2 linked regions of the Kluyveromyces lactis genome follow. The protein of the gene in region 1 interacts with the protein of each later gene in a pairwise test. Links are inferred from orthologs where the notes say so. Each region holds a gene or a part of one and is shown on either strand. Other genes may lie near its edges. The genes, in order: MET4 and MET30.

The links.
Region 2: the proteins of MET4 (region 1) and MET30 interact in binary tests that used the Saccharomyces cerevisiae proteins (3 or more experiments, as listed by UniProt). The link is inferred for Kluyveromyces lactis from reciprocal best matches to the Saccharomyces cerevisiae genes MET4 and MET30.

What each region holds. Positions count from the first base shown.
Region 1 is NC_006039.1:1,125,587-1,129,518, reverse strand, and holds MET4 (Met4p), read right to left. Parts: upstream 2,781-3,932; coding exon 651-2,780; downstream 1-650. Other genes in the region: SNAP receptor VAM3, read left to right, coding at 1-499. UniProt on the Saccharomyces cerevisiae protein: Positive trans-acting factor capable of stimulating the transcription of the MET genes from the methionine biosynthetic pathway. MET4, MET28 and CBF1 are required for full induction of MET25 and MET16 gene transcription.
Region 2 is NC_006042.1:2,545,216-2,549,094, reverse strand, and holds MET30 (ubiquitin-binding SDF ubiquitin ligase complex subunit MET30), read right to left. Parts: upstream 2,563-3,879; coding exon 691-2,562; downstream 1-690. Other genes in the region: HIS1 (ATP phosphoribosyltransferase), read right to left, coding at 3,684-3,879. UniProt on the Saccharomyces cerevisiae protein: Substrate-recognition component of the SCF(Met30) complex, an E3 ubiquitin ligase complex that mediates the ubiquitination and subsequent proteasomal degradation of target proteins. Negatively regulates sulfur amino acids biosynthesis genes expression.

The sequences.
Region 1 (3,932 bases):
TGTAAAGACCGATTATGAGAATAGGGCAGTACAGAATCCCATACCTGACGAAGAGAGTAAAGATAATGAATCGGAACATCTCGTATCGCAATATGAAAGCATGCCAATACAAGACGATATCGAGAGGAGGGATCATTCTTCAGAGGATACTCCGTTACTTTTGTCTACCCAACAGCAAGAGCCTTTGTTGAATCAGGATGAGTTAGATTTTCACACGATAATTCAACATGAAAGATCCCAGGACATATCAAAAATCCACTCTGCTGTGCAAGAGGTCAATGCCATCTTCAAACAACTAGGAAGTCTGGTACAGGAACAGGGCGAACAAGTTGACACAATTGGCGAAAATGTGACAGGATTATCTAATAATTTGCAAAAGGCGAACAAAGAACTTCACAAAGCAAATGAATATCAAAGGAAAAAGAACAGATGTGGTACAATACTTCTAGTAGCTATTGTTGTTATCACTCTAATAACTCTTATCGCGATTCTATCATAGGGTTAGATTCTACGAGGAATGTAACTATATATTAATACAAAATTTATCTCTGGCCTTATACTTGGATGAAAGTTACGTTACGTTTTAGAGAACACGCATCATCAGGTAAATATGTCCGACTTAGAGGTTACAACTAATTATTAATCATAGCTTACTTGTCAGTATCCTTTTTAGTGCTTTCGGAGGAGTTATTTTTGGATAGTTCATAAGACTCAACATTCTTGAGATCTCCACGTTCAATGACAAGATTTTTGAGAAGTCTGTTTTCCATTTCAAGGGTATTGATTCTTTGCTTCAAGTCACAAGCTAACTGTGAAAGATCTTGGACCCAAGTTTCCATTTCTTTCTCTTTAAGTTTTTTAGTTTGATCCAAGTTCGGCAGTTTGGGTCTTGAAGAAAGGGTTGAGGAAGTGGACGACGATTCTACACCATCACTGGAGGAATTGTTTTTATCAGAATCAGTATTATGCTTTTTTTCGTTTATCTTCTCATCGAGACTCTTAGCAGCATTTTCCTTGTCATTGAGAAGTTCTTCCGATTGTCTCACCTCTTCCTTCAATTTAGCAGACGTTACATCCTTCCTAAGAGAGGAAGCTGATTCTAGTTTCCTGACAACTGATTTTGGTGTTTTACTGATACCATCATCCAGTGTTTGCTTTGCAGAATTCTCTTCGCTTTCTTTCTTTATGTTGTTAGAAATTGAGCCGTGGTGCACTTTCGGTGAGTTTTTCATATATGTATCAATAACTCTAGACTCTTTTTCCACTGGAGTTTTTTTGGCTCTTTTTGGATTAGGTTTATGGACACTTGATTGAGGAGATGGCTCAGGTTTTTCATGCAAAAAATCCAATAGCATGCCAACGGAGCTTTGAATATGTTCTTGAGGTTCAGGAACCAGTTGATTTTGCGAATTCACATCTATCGATGAGCCCAGATGGGAAGCTGACGATGGTGGTCTATTTGTAGAGTGATTATTTAAATTAGTTGGCTTCCTCACAGGAGGATCAAACTTTTCTCTTTCTCTTTCATAATAAGCCATAATAGCAGCTATGGCGTCAATCTGTTCTGGTTTAAAGCCAACATTACGCAAAGACTGGTAAGCACCTCTGGGAACATTAATGATAGGCAACAATGATACCAAAGTCGCAGTTTGTATTGTAGAGTAGTCTGGCATCTGTATATTTGATTCAAATCCTGATGTTGCAGCCGTACTTGGACGATACGGATTTTCGTTGCTATTGACATGATTATTACCATGGTTACTAGCTGTGTTGACGATTGAAGAGGCAGACGATACAGTGGTATTGGACGGATATGACATTGAAGTTAAATCATATGCGGCTAATAAATTTGTTAGTGGGGAAGTGGCAAACGGCATATCTCGTTGGCGGTTTGCACTTGTGCCATTTAGGTTGCCTGTATTATGACTATTGGATTGGTCTTGAACATCAAAGTGTGTAAATCCTCCATGATCGGGGATCGGAGAATTCTGTGTCGATGACCTTTTCCTCGAAAACCGTTGCCGCGTATGATCATACTGGTTTCCCAGCAGGTTTGATTTTCTATCGAACAAGTTTCTCTTTTCCGAAGAGTTTCTGTTATTATTATTATTATTATTATTATTATTATTATTATTGTTATTATTACTATTATGATTGTTACCACTGTTATTATTATTGTTATTGTCGATGTTATTATCATTAGTACTAGGATTAGCATTGTTGTTCAATCCGAAGTTATGGTTGCTGTTGTAATGGTCGCCGTTGTCATCGCTATCATGTCTATCAGCTTTGTCTTCATCTGGGAAAATAAAAGTCTCATCTGCGAAAACACTCAATTCCGCCGCTAAACGTTCATCCATCGCGAGCTGATTATCTGCACTTAAACCACCAACTTGATGATTCAAGGGCATCCCACTAAATGAATTTACAGTGTCACCATGAGGTCCCTCATTGTTGTAAAAAGAATTTGTCACATTGGGTCCAAAGTCAGAGTTAAAATCAGTAATAAAATTATCAACAAACGCTAGTTGTTCCAAAAGAATGCTAGGGGTAACATCATTATTCACATCAGCAGGGGGGTTAATCAACGAATGTAAGTGATTCGATGCGGTAGATGGAGAATGTGTCGAGAATTCCGGACTGTTCCCCCAAATGTTGTCCATACCTTGACTGGGATGACTATCATTAGGATTTCGAATATGATTATCCATATTCCTTGCACCAACACCGCTACTGCTGCTACCAGTGCGCTTAAGATTATTGGAAGTTCCACTATTCATAGCGGAAAGAATGAGAGAAGCCGGCTCGATAAATAAAGATTCACTGTCGTTATTCCCTGGAACTAAGGCTCAAATTTGAATGTGGCCTTTCACTCGATGCTGTTGATATCAACAGTAGACGATGATTGAAAATACTTTAGTTTGTATTATTCTTCAGCTCAGGTCTCGTGCAATTTCATCAAAAGTCGGGAAAAAAATGAGGAAAGGGAAAAGAAGAAGAAAAAAGTAATCACCAAACTGTGGAACGTCTATTACCCGGACAAGAAAATTACCCGGATACAGACATTACATCAGCCACAGTACAAACTGCACGTGATACGAAGCACGTGATTTGTGTTCCCTCGTGTTGTTCGCTTTTTTCTTTTCTTGCTTTCCTCCGGTTTCTGCGATCACCCGCGGAAAAATGTTTATTTATCCATCAGTATTAGTGCCTACATTCTCATTTCTCGAGTCAGTAAGCAACCCCGCATTTTATTGCTGGAGTGTTACCGCGTAGATGCTCTCACACAGATAGAAAAGCTCGCTGATCTAAAGAATGATTATACATATCGTAAAGAGAAAAAACAGCACACTAGTGACAGTTTGAAAATCCAGCACAGCAAGTAAACACTCATCCGATGCTCTCCCTATACCTGATCTTTCAGTACTAATGCCGACCGCCGGTTGCCGATCGCCGTTTGATTATTGTGTTTTGCTTGAGGTCGTTACCTGCGTTTGCCAAGTCTTTTTCTTCCTTCAAGATAAGGAGCTTGTAATCTAATCTTCAGAGATGAAAATCTGATAGATAGCGTAAACTAGGGAATCGACAAGACCCCATCGCAAATTATCGAGGACAAGAACAGGAGGTGCGATAAATATCTCCCGACTGACCTATGCATATCAAAAAAACTTTCTTGTCTCCTACCAGTTTGCTCTTACTGTTTCGTGAAATACGGATTAAAGTTTCCTTTTCCATGTTTCTTTTCCATTTTCCTGTGCTTTTCTTTTTTTTACAAAAAACTGGAAAGGAAAAATGAAAAAGAAACATAGTGAGGGTAAATACGGGTTGGTACGGGAAAAGAGCAGCAGAGACACAATTCTATTAGCAGGATAAAACGGCTACGATATTGCGGCTAGTAAAACACAATTTGATCATCTGTGTAAGTAAGAGCT
Region 2 (3,879 bases), on another chromosome or scaffold:
ACTGGCTCACCCGACTTATGTATGATTGAAGTCTTAAAAACAGAGGAACATTAATACCTTGCATGAAAACGTCTGCTCATGGTGACAACCCTTTTTTTCTTATTATTTCCTTTCCTTTTCTTTTCAAGGATTCCCAGTCACATTTCTCTACTACGATATTTTCTAAGCTGTTTGGTGAGAATCTGGAAACCAAAAGACGGTCATGTTGACAATGAAAAATGGAAGATGTGTTAGTTTGGCTTTCGAAGAAGAAAACGGTGCGCTGTTACGTTTCAACGAGGCTCATCATCTTAATCATTATGGTGCGATCTTATAATTAGATTCCGCGCATATACGACGGTCGAATTAAATGACGAATTCCACAACTTCGCATGCTCGACATTTGACTTTTTAACGTTGATGGTTTCGGGGTTAATGAAGCCAGGTAGGTACATTGATTTTAAACATTGTTCCGAGCACGATAAAACTTTCAGAAACTGATCGTTGAGTAATGTATTCGTTCGAAAAAGAATGGCATTATGTGGCCTCTGTATTTAGGCAGCAGTTGAGACTAGAAATAAGTTACAATATAAACTTTTGTATTTAGTTATGCTAGTTTTGAAGATGTTGAACACAATTGTTCCTTCACTTCTGTACCATTAGCTATAGTGTAATCGGTGCAACAATGCCAATGGTTCTACGACAGGGCTCTCAAATATCATCAAAATGCCACATTTTCACTTCGCCCAGCTCGTCTCCGCTAACAAATGAACTGTCACCAATTCCTACACATACAATAGGAGCCTTGTGTCCTGTAAAAGTTTGTATGCATTTACCATTTTGAAGATCCCAAACTTTGATGCTCTTATCGTGAGAGCCACTGACAATTCTGAAGTTATCAGCAGCGATATCCCAAACACCTTCAACATGTCCAAATTGAGTTCTAATGCATCTACCTGAACTGACTTCCCAGAGTTTGATGGTGTTATCCAATGAACATGAAAGCAAATGTGTAGGGTATTTCAAATTCGGATCGAATATTCCTGTACAGTCATCTGCAAAATCTTCTTCTAACTCTGGGTTGGGTACTTTTTCAATTTTTTCATCCACCACTAAATTTTCTGTGTCTTTGATCGTTAATGGAATAACTTTTTGCACTTGACCAACATGTCCTCTGAAAACTTTAATACACGAATTAGTACGGATATCCCACATTCTTAATGTTTTGTCGTCACTGGAACTGTAACAAGTGAAACTTTTTGGATGTAGTTTAACACAGTTGACCCATTCCGTATGGCCCCGCAACGTATAACAAGTCCTAGATTCAACATGCCACACTTTAACTGTTTTATCAGCAGAAGCACTCACAATGATTTTTTTGTATGAATCCACCGATAGCACAGAATCCTGGTGGCCTCTATAAGTTGATATACAGGACCCTGTAATGTAGTTCCATACTCTGATTGTCTTGTCTAAAGAAGCTGTGATCATTTTCTGATCATCAAAATAAATACCCTTCACACCATCCGTGTGCCCGGTGAGTCTTCTAATCAAATTACCAGATTTTGTGTCCCATATAGCCACCGTTGAATCGTATGACCCAGTGAAAAGCAGTCTGTGGTTGAACTTTAATGACAATACCCCATCCATATGGCCTTTGAAGAGCTGAATTCTACATCTTCCATTTCTCCAATTGGATTCCACTTGGAACCGTTCCCTATATATTACTTTCCAGGGTCTCGTATAGTACCTGCTATTCCTAGCCCTAGCGGCAACAGTTTGGTTGGGAGAGTTGCCAGGATTGATTAGTGACTTTCCGCCTCCAATTTCATTCCCGTTGCCGTTTGCAACATTTTGGAATTGATTGCCGTTTTGATTATGGACATGTGCTTCATTTACAGGTAAGTATCTTGCCCTCTTCATATGGAGTAAGGGTAGACCCCATCCACAGTTTGGACATTTTCTATCAATATGCTGTTCGCACATATGGTACCATACCCTATCGTCATCAGCTAGTGTTTTCCACCTCTTACATGTTAGCGAGGCGATGCAAAGAGACTGACAGTCAAGGTAACCTAAAATTTTCAAAGAAAGTTCCTCTGGTAAGGTTGAAATGAAATCGATCTTAATCAATTGTTTTACCTCATCAGCAATATAAGATAGCTGGGGAAAACAACAAAGCTGTAATATTCCTTCCAGCATTAATCTTCGTATCTTATCATTGCTATGCTGGAAATTGTCTAGCGTTTGTTTGATAATTGCTCGGTCTGATTCCTTGTCCAAAGCTTTCATTTTCTCCATCCACTTCTCCGACCGTACCTGATCTTGGAAAACCATCGAATCCTTACAAGTGTGTTGAATATCTGGATTATGACGGTAGCAGAATTTAAAGAAATTGAACTGAGGCATTTCACTCGGAAGCTGTATTTCCTCATTGTTTTGATTGACCTTGGAAGCTTTGTTTCGTAGAATTTCCCCCTTCCCATCAGTATCCTGTCGTTGATCTGACACTCCATTCGAATCTACATCTTCGAACTTACGCTTTAAATCCGGTCTGCATGTCTGTTGAAGGTTAAACTCCATTTTGAAATACGATCGTAACTCGTATGGTATATTTGAATATATTGATGAGATAAAATGATGGGGTATATTGACTCAAAACAACTTCCCTAGCGTTCTCTTTCCAAAATGTTTATTCTGTTCCTCAAACTTTTGTAAATATACCAGAACCAGTGATCAAAGTGATGCAGTACTGCAAAACCCTTCGTTTATGTCTCTTATCCACAAGGATATAATTCCTTTCCTTGATTCACAGGAAAATTCTATAAGAACACCACCAATGATGAGCACTAGTACCTTTCTTTACCGAAACTTGTTGTTCTTCCCTATCTGAGCTCTCTCCGCTGCTGATCTTTCGTTTGTTCTGAAAATTTCCAAACCGCTTAATACAACAAATATGATGCTTTATATAAATCAAACAAACTATTGGTAGATCGGGAAGTGAGACGCCCCTTTAAGGATTAAGAAGTCTTACTTTGGCAGTGTTTTTCCTTTTGAAGAAGTCCTTTGTCAGTCAAGAGTTTTGTTTAAGTTTCGATATTTTTACTTTTTTTCTCTGCGCTAAATTTCAGTACTAGCTAAAATCCGTTCTTACTATCTTTATGGGAAAAAAAGATATGTTTGTACTGCTAGGGTAGGTAAGCCACACTTTACAGGTTATCTGGCTTATTACAAGGATATTCCATGTTTTGATCTGACTAAAAGCCAAGAATATAACATGGCACATTTTCCCTTGAAAATCAGTCATTATATATGTATAGTGTAACCTGCTACTGTGCATTCGGTCATTATGCGCTTTTCTGTGTTCATCTCTGGTTCTTTCCAGCGGTGTCTCTGGTGAGGTAAGCTATCTGGATTTTTCTCGTTCATTCACGTGATCAAAATTGCCACAACGACAGAGACAGAATCGAAGACAATCAGTAAGAACGGACACTGGTTCGATCATGCAGGGCTGAAAGGCAGGAGTCAAATACCTACTATGCTGACTTCAAATATTGTCTACAACATGCAATATATTGCTATTGTCACAATTTTTGCTGTATCAATTTATCTATATTAACTTACATTATACACAAGGATACAATAAGGTGCCCATGCATAAGATTTTATATATATAATTATGGTGAGGAAAAGTGCTAATCATTTTAGACACGACAGTTAGAAATTTCGAATACCATGATATCTTCTGCACCGTTTTTTTTCAAGTCATCCATAATATCACCTTTGTTTTTCCTTTCGATCATGGATGAAACCGCTACCCATCCACTGTCGTTGATTTGAGAGATGGTTGGTGCTCTCCTTCCTGGAGTAATTTTTAAAAGTTCAGGTAATTTGTTCTCA